2 linked regions of the Callithrix jacchus genome follow. The protein of the gene in region 1 interacts with the protein of each later gene in a pairwise test. Links are inferred from orthologs where the notes say so. Each region holds a gene or a part of one and is shown on either strand. Other genes may lie near its edges.

Region 1 (3,639 bases):
AATTAAACATTTTAGGATTAACATTTTTTACCCCACAGGTTGACAAAACATTACCAGTTGTATAGTATCTATCATGTCAAGGATATGGGGTACATGCATTCTGTTACTGAAACCCAAATTTATATGAGTATTTTGGATATTGTACTAGAATATCACTAATATTTAAAACACACCTTCTTTGAACCAGGAATTCCACTTCTAGGTACATATTCTATAGAAAAAAATTCAACTATGTATACAAAGAAGTATGCACAGGATTCAGAATCTTACATAAAAATGTATTTAACTTGGTTGGAGTGTGTGTTTGTTTCCCAGGTTAAATAAAATCAGAAAGTCAAAATCACAAGCCACAAAAAAGAAAAACTGATGAATTAGATATAACCGAAATTAAAAACTCTAACTGCTACAAATAATGCCATCAAGAATGGGAAGTTAGGGCCAGGCGCAGTGGCTCACACCTGTAATCCCAGCACTTTGGGAGGCCGAGGCGGGTGGATCATGAGGTCAAGAGATCGAGACCATGCTGGTCAACATGGTGAAACCCCGTCTCTATTAAAAATACAAAAAATTAGCTGGCCAAGGTGGCACGTGCCTGTAATCCCAGCTACTCAGGAGGCTGAGGCAGGAGAATTGCCTGAACCCAGGAGGTGGAGGTTACAGTGAGCCAAGATCCCGTCATTGCACTCCAGCTAGGGTCACAAGAGCAAAACTCCATCTCAAAAAAAAAAAAGAATGGGAAGTGACTGATAATGTGTACATTATTTTTCGGGTGCTGTGAATGGTAATGTGATAAGGTTTGGCCCTGTGTCCTCATCCAAATCTCATCTCAAATTGTAATCCCCACATGTGGAGGAAGGGAGGTGACTGGATCATAGAGGCGGATTCCCCCATGCTGTTCTTGCGATAGTGAGTTAGTTTTTATAAGATCCAATGGTTTTATAAGTGATAGCTTCTCCTTCACACATGCTTCTCTCTCCTGCCGCCTTGTGAAGAGGAGGCCTGCTTTCCCTTCCAACACGATTATAAGTTTCCTGAGGCCTCCCCAGCCATGCAGAATCATGAGTCAATTAAACCTTTCCTTTATAAATTACCCAGTCTCACATACTATCTTAAAGCAGTGTGAAAATGGACTAATACATGATGGCGGTTGCAAAAAACACTGTGAATACACTTTTAAAAAACCACTGAATTGTACACCTTAAATAGGTAAATTGTATGTCCTGTGAATTATACTATAATAAGGTGGTTTTTTTAAAAACCAGCATCATCTGAAAATGTGAGTTTGATCATAGGGTACCACCTTCTAGGGAAGACACTAACTGATAAACAGTTTCCTCATGCATAAAATGTAAATATAACTGCTCTACCTATTTTATAAAGCTATGGCATTCTTCAAATGATATAGTTAAAGGGTTTCATAAAATAGCCACTATACAAACTTTTATACAAATCATACAAACATTCAAAATCATTATTAAGATTATTATTATAGAATACCTTCACATTAGTATCAAATAAACCTAAAGGAGAAATGTGGCTGTCATGGCGCACTCCAACCAAGTTAAACACATTTTTATGTAAGATGTCACATGAACTGCATTCTTTCTTTCTTTTTTTTCCACACCCACTGGTTATAGGAGCAATAGGATGAGCTGTATTCTTTAACTGGAAATGAAAAAGAATCTCATAGCAAAACATATTAAATTTCACTTTCCGGAAAGATCAGAGAAAAGAGAGAGACACATACAGGAAGCCAACAGAGAAAAATAAAGAACTTTTAACCTAATTTTAAAATCCCTGATTTACCCTACTGTTGTTACAAAGTTCAAATTTTGTTAAATATATTTTTTCTTTTATATATACACGTTTTTTTATTGTTGTTGTTGTTATTTATTTATTTATTTTTTTGAGATGGAGTTTTGCTCGTTACCCAGGCTGGAGTGCCATGGCGCAATCTCAGCTCACCGCAACCTCTGCCTCCTGGGTTCAGGCAATTCTCCTGCCTCAGCCTCCTGAGTAGCTGGGATTACAGGCACGCGCCACCATGCCCAGCTAATTTTTTGTATTTTTTAGTAGAGACGGGGTTTCACCATGTTGACCAGGATGGTCTCGATCTCTTGACTTCATGATCCACCCGCCTCAGCCTCCCAAAGTGCTGGGATTACAGGCGTGAGCCACCGCACCCGGCCATATGTTTTTTTTTAATTAAAATTTTTTTACTTTCTTTTACAGGGATGGGGTCTCACTATGTTACCCAAGCTGGTCTTGAACTCCTGGGCTTAAGCAATCCTTCGCCTTGGCCTCCCAAAGTTCTCTGATTTACAGGCATCAGCCACCGTGCCCAGCCAATATATTCTAATTAGCTTAAAAATAAATGTTAGCCTTATAGTTGAAAAAATATAAATAGCTTTAAAGGAAATTTATTAACTTAGACCAGTGTTCTCAATCAGAAGTGATTCACTATTTCGGATCAGCTGGTTTTTGGAAAATATTTTATTTTTGATAGTCTTATCTACACTAGAAAAATATAATCTTCAGAAATAAAGGAGTTAAGAAATAGAGTAAAACACTAGTTAAAATAGAGTTGAAAATGCAAGAAGGAATAAAATATAGATGATTCAATAAAACTGTAGAAAATAAAATGTGTTTTCACCTGTCCATCCATCACTCCCAACAAAGCAGATTCCATCCACTGTACAGGTTCAATGAAGTAAGATGTACATTGAGCTTGCCTCCCTGCGGTAAGCTTGAAAGATGGTGTCATTCTCTTGTGGGCAAAGGCTATAGGTCTACTTCCTTCATGGTGATCCAGAATACTAGAACTTCGAAATAATGATCGCCTGCAACCCCCAAACACAAATATTAATGACTTTCAAAAGGATGAAAACATGGATGAAATGTGCAACTTCTTTTTTTTTTCTCAATTTTTTTTTTTTGCGACAGAGTCTCACTCTGTTGACCAGGCTGGAGTGCAACGGCAAAATCTTGGCTGACTGCAACCTCTGCCTCCTGGGTTCAAGTAATTCTCCCACCTCAGCCTCCTGAGTAGCTGGAATTACAGGCACCTGCCACCACGCCCAGCTAATTTTTGTATTTTTAGTAGAGATGGGGTTTTACCATGTTGGCCAGGCTGGTCTCAAACTCCTGACCTCATGTGATCCGCCCACCTTGGCCTCCCAAACTGCTGGGATTACAGGCGTGAGGCACCATGCCTGGTGAAGTGTGCAGTATTTCTTAAAGGACAAAATAATGTAACACTAATTATGTTACTCAAATTTTCAGTAACCCCTACAATCTTATTATTTCTATTTTTAAGAATTTATATTCTTCCTGAAAGCATATCTGAACTAAAACTTTCTGTATTATTCAATTAAACAAAATTTTCCTACAGTAATTTAAGAAAATAAAACACTAAGTACTTTTCAGCTACTGAGACAAGATAAAATCTCCAAAGGATACAAAAATAAACAAAAATTTCCTACAGTAATTTAAGAAAATAAAACACTAAGTACTTTTCAGCTACTGAGACAAGATAAAATCTCCAAAGGATACAAAATATTTTACCTGCACTTTCTACACTTGTAGAGAATCTCATCTTTCAATCCTTGTAAAACGGTGGTTGGGTCAACAGCAAAGAGT
Region 2 (3,975 bases), on another chromosome or scaffold:
CCTCCTCCTGCCCCATCCTCCCATCCTCCTCCTCCCTCTCCTGCTCCCATCCTCATCCTCCTCCTCCGCCTCCACATCCCTCCTCCCCACCATGCCGCCTCCTCCTCATCCCTCCTCCTTCCCCCCACACGTGGACTCCAGCACAGGTGTGTGTGTGCACAGCAGGCAGAGATCCGGCTCAGGGCGTGGGTCACCCACTGGGGAGGTGGGAGGCGGGGGGTGCTTGTGGAGCGCGGGGAGCAGGGACTGCAGCGGGCACTCGGGGGACGTGCAGGGGTTTCAGCAGGGACACTGGGTGGGGAGGCCGCTGTGTTCCCTTCCAGGGCCCCAGGGAGGCCTCTGCCATCTCAGCCTGGAACCCACACGGGGTCTCCTCCTCGTGTCCCCCAGGCCGGCCCATCCCAGCCAGGCAGGTGCAGCCACACGGGGTCTCCTCCTCGTGTCCCCCAGGCCGGGCCATCGCACCCAGGCAGGTGCAGCCACACGGGGTCTCCTCCTCGTGTCCCCCAGGCCGGCCCATCGCACCCAGGCAGGTGCAGCCACACGGGGTCTCCTCCTCGTGTCCCCCAGGCCGGCCCATCCCACCCAGGCAGGTGTAGCCACCCGGGGTCTCCTCCTCGTGTCCCCCAGGCCGGCCCATCGCACCCAGGCAGGTGCAGCCACACGGGGTGTCCTCTCCTCGTGTCCCCCAGGCCGGCCCATCCCAGCCAGGCAGGTGCAGCCACACGGGGTCTCCTCCTCGTGTCCCCCAGGCCGGCCCATCCCACCCAGGCAGGTGTAGCCACCCGGGGTCTCCTCCTCGTGTCCCCCAGGCCGGCCCATCCCACCCAGGCAGGTGTAGCCACCTGGGGTCTCCTCCTCGTGTCCCCCAGGCCGGCCCATCGCACCCAGGCAGGTGCAGCCAGACCCCCCCCAGCGCCAGCAATCACCGCGCCTGTGTGAATAAATAAAAATTTATCATTCGGTACAAACGCACTCGTTTTCCACAAAACACAACGCGGACGTTTTTACAGCGGCTGCAGGTCCTCGTCCCCGCACGCGAACTCGTACAGGTCCACGGCGCCCAGGGGCGAGGGCGCCTCGAAGAAGGGCCTCTGGGCCAGCGGCGACCGCAGCGCACTCAGCTTCTGCTCCACAGGGCTGAGCTCGGCCTCGAACCTGCAACGAGGGGATGGCAAAGGCGTGTCTGGCGGCGCCGCGGGCCCTGGAGCTGCAGGTGCCGACCCAGCTGTGCGCTCCCGGCCGGCGGTGCCACCTGCACCAGTGGTCCCTGGGGAGGGGGCTGTGGTCACAGGACGGTCACACCCCCGGCGCCAGGTCCCCGCAGGGGCTTTCCCAGGGCAGGAATCCGGGGGCGCGCGTTTCTCGAAGCCACGTGACGGGGACTCAGAGCAGCGCTGACCTGCGTGGACGCGCTTACAGGTTTCTGCGGGGTCCACGCGGGAAGGCAGAACAAAACCCGGGATGTGACACGGTTTCAAAAACGGCGCGGCCACGCGTGGCTTAGGATTGTCCCAACACACGCACGGGCTCCCGGGGACCAGAACGCACAGCAGCACGAGGCCTGCACATGCGCGCGCGGTGAGCCATCCGCAGTGACAGAGGACAGTGCCCCGGGACACCGGCGTGGCCACCGGCCGCACAGACCCTCGGAGGTCCGGTGTGGACACGTCTGCTCTGCAACATGCCCCCCGGAAGCCTGGCGCTGAGATCCCCACGGTCCCGGTCACTCCCGGCCATGGACGAGAGTGCGGCCAACCAGCGCGGGAGCGGACACGGAAGGTGGCACGTGGCTACCTGAGCGTGGGGCCGGCTGTGCCGCAGACCTGGGCTGGGCGGCGATGGCGGTGGATACTGGTCAGGTGGGGAGCAGGGGGACGGAGGCGGAGAATGGGGGGAGGAGGGGCAGCACGAAAATGGGGGGCAGGAGAATGGGGAGAATGGGGGGAGGAGGGGCAGCACGAAAATGGGAAGCAGGAGAATGGGAGTGGGGAGCATGAAAATGGGGAGGAGAATGGGAGGGGGGAGCATGAAAATGGGGAGCAGGAGAATGGGAGGAGGGGGAGCAGGAAAATGGGGAGGGGAATGGGAGGGGGGAGCATGAAAATGGGGAGGAGAATGGGCGGAGGAGGGTGACCATGAAAATGGGGAGCAAAATGGGAGCGGGGAGCATGAAAATGGAGAGGAGAATGGGAGGGGGGAGCATGAAAATGGGGAGGACAATGGGAGGGGGGAGCATGAAAATGGGTGGGAGAATGGGAGGGGGGAGCATGAAAACGGGGAGCAGAATGGGAGGACGGAGAGCATGAAAATGGGGAAGGGGAGGGGGAGCAGGGACACACGGATGGCGGGGGGTGTGGGGGGCGCAGCGGGAGCCCCAGGAGCTCGGCAGGAATGGGAGGGGCGTCTGGGGAGGCGCAAGGGTTAGAACGCAGCTCCGTGGAGCCCGTGGGTCGGGAACTATAGAGTGTTTTGAGCTGCCGGTAAGTGACAACGCCTGACTCGGCCGCGCTCCCAGGGCCCACTGAGAAGAGAGGAAAGGGCTTCGGTCAGCGGCCCAGGCTGCCGCGTGAAGGCACCTGGAGAACAGAAGGAAAACCAGAACAAAGGCAACAGAAAATCAGTGGCACTCGTGGTTCCGTGACAAGACAGAAAATCGGTGGCACTCGTGGTTCCGTGACAAGACAGAAAATCGGTGGCACTCGTGGTTCCGTGACAAGACAGAAAATCGGTGGCACTCGTGGTTCCGTGACAAGACAGAAAATCGGTGGCACTCGTGGTTCCGTGACAAGACAGAAAATCGGTGGCACTCGTGGTTCCGTGACAAGACAGAAAATCGGTGGCACTCGTGGTTCCGTGACAAGACAGAAAATCGGTGGCACTCGTGGTTCCGTGACAAGACGAATCGACCGTCCTTACCCCCACTGTTCATGCAGAGAAACAGAAATGGGCATCGCGCCCGCGGGACACGCCAGCGCTGTGGATGCTGCGGATGTGAAACCCACAAGCAGGAAACGTCGCCGATGATGACGAAATCACTTGGGTGAACACACAAGGGTCTGGAGCACGGGAACCGGCCAAGCTCCCTCTAGGGCGGGTGCGGGGGCTCAGGCCGCTCTTCCCAACACTCTGGGGCCTGAGGCGGGCAGAACCCTTGAGCTCACGTGTTCAAGACCAGCCTAAACCCCATCTCCACAAAAGTTACCGGGCGTGGGGGCGCTGGCCTGTCATCGCAGCGACCCCCCAGAAAACAAAACCTCACGGACATGGCCTGAGCCAGCTTCTGATAACCGTCACTTTTGCTTTTTTGAGACATGGAGTTTCGCTCTTATTTCCCAGGCTGGAGTGCAATGGTGCAACCTCAGCTCACGGCAGCCAACAGCTCCCAGGTTCAAGCAGTTTTCCTGCGTCCGCCTCCCAGTCGCCGGGATCACAGGCATCTGTGCCACCACGCCCGGCTCACTTTGTGTCCTTGTAGTAGACACGGGGTTTCACCATGTTGCCCAGGCTGGTTTTGAACTCCCGACCTCACGTGATCGGCCCGCCTCGGCCTCCCAGTGTTGGGATTTAGAGGCGTGAGCCACCGCACCGGCTGAATTCGATTTTTAGTTAAAAGCCTCTCACAAAGCTGCCGTTCCCAACGGCTTCCCTGGCCAATTCCACCAAACAGGTCCAGGAAATTCATGAAAATTCCGGTAACGACAGTTCTGGGGGGAACAGACGGGAGCACATGTTGCCCTGACGTTAGTAACGGGTTTGTACGTTGAGGCGCAGGCATCGACACACCCGAAACTTCCGTGGTGCCACCATCGAGCACTTAATGAGAAACCGAGGCCCACACGGGGTCACTGGTGAATTCTACCAGACATCGAGGGAGAAGTAACAGGTCGGCGCTACGCACTCTTCCAGAGAACACGGGGAGACCATACTGCTCCCCATTCCCTGAGCCAGCATTACCCCAACACCAAAGCCAGA

Evidence for each region. The genes of interacting proteins can lie anywhere in the genome.
Region 2: the proteins of DUSP12 (region 1) and PPP2R3B interact in binary tests that used the Homo sapiens proteins (3 or more experiments, as listed by UniProt). The two-hybrid records come from large-scale screens. The link is inferred for Callithrix jacchus from reciprocal best matches to the Homo sapiens genes DUSP12 and PPP2R3B.

Annotation. Positions count from the first base shown.
Region 1 is NC_133519.1:21,594,669-21,598,307, reverse strand, and holds part of DUSP12 (dual specificity protein phosphatase 12), read right to left. Parts: coding exon 3,565-3,639; intron 2,841-3,564; coding exon 2,654-2,840; intron 1-2,653. UniProt on the Homo sapiens protein: Dual specificity phosphatase; can dephosphorylate both phosphotyrosine and phosphoserine or phosphothreonine residues. Can dephosphorylate glucokinase (in vitro).
Region 2 is NC_133524.1:733,933-737,907, forward strand, and holds the end of PPP2R3B (serine/threonine-protein phosphatase 2A regulatory subunit B'' subunit beta), read right to left. Parts: intron 1,159-3,975; coding exon 1,008-1,158; 3' UTR 938-1,007; downstream 1-937. UniProt on the Homo sapiens protein: The B regulatory subunit might modulate substrate selectivity and catalytic activity, and might also direct the localization of the catalytic enzyme to a particular subcellular compartment.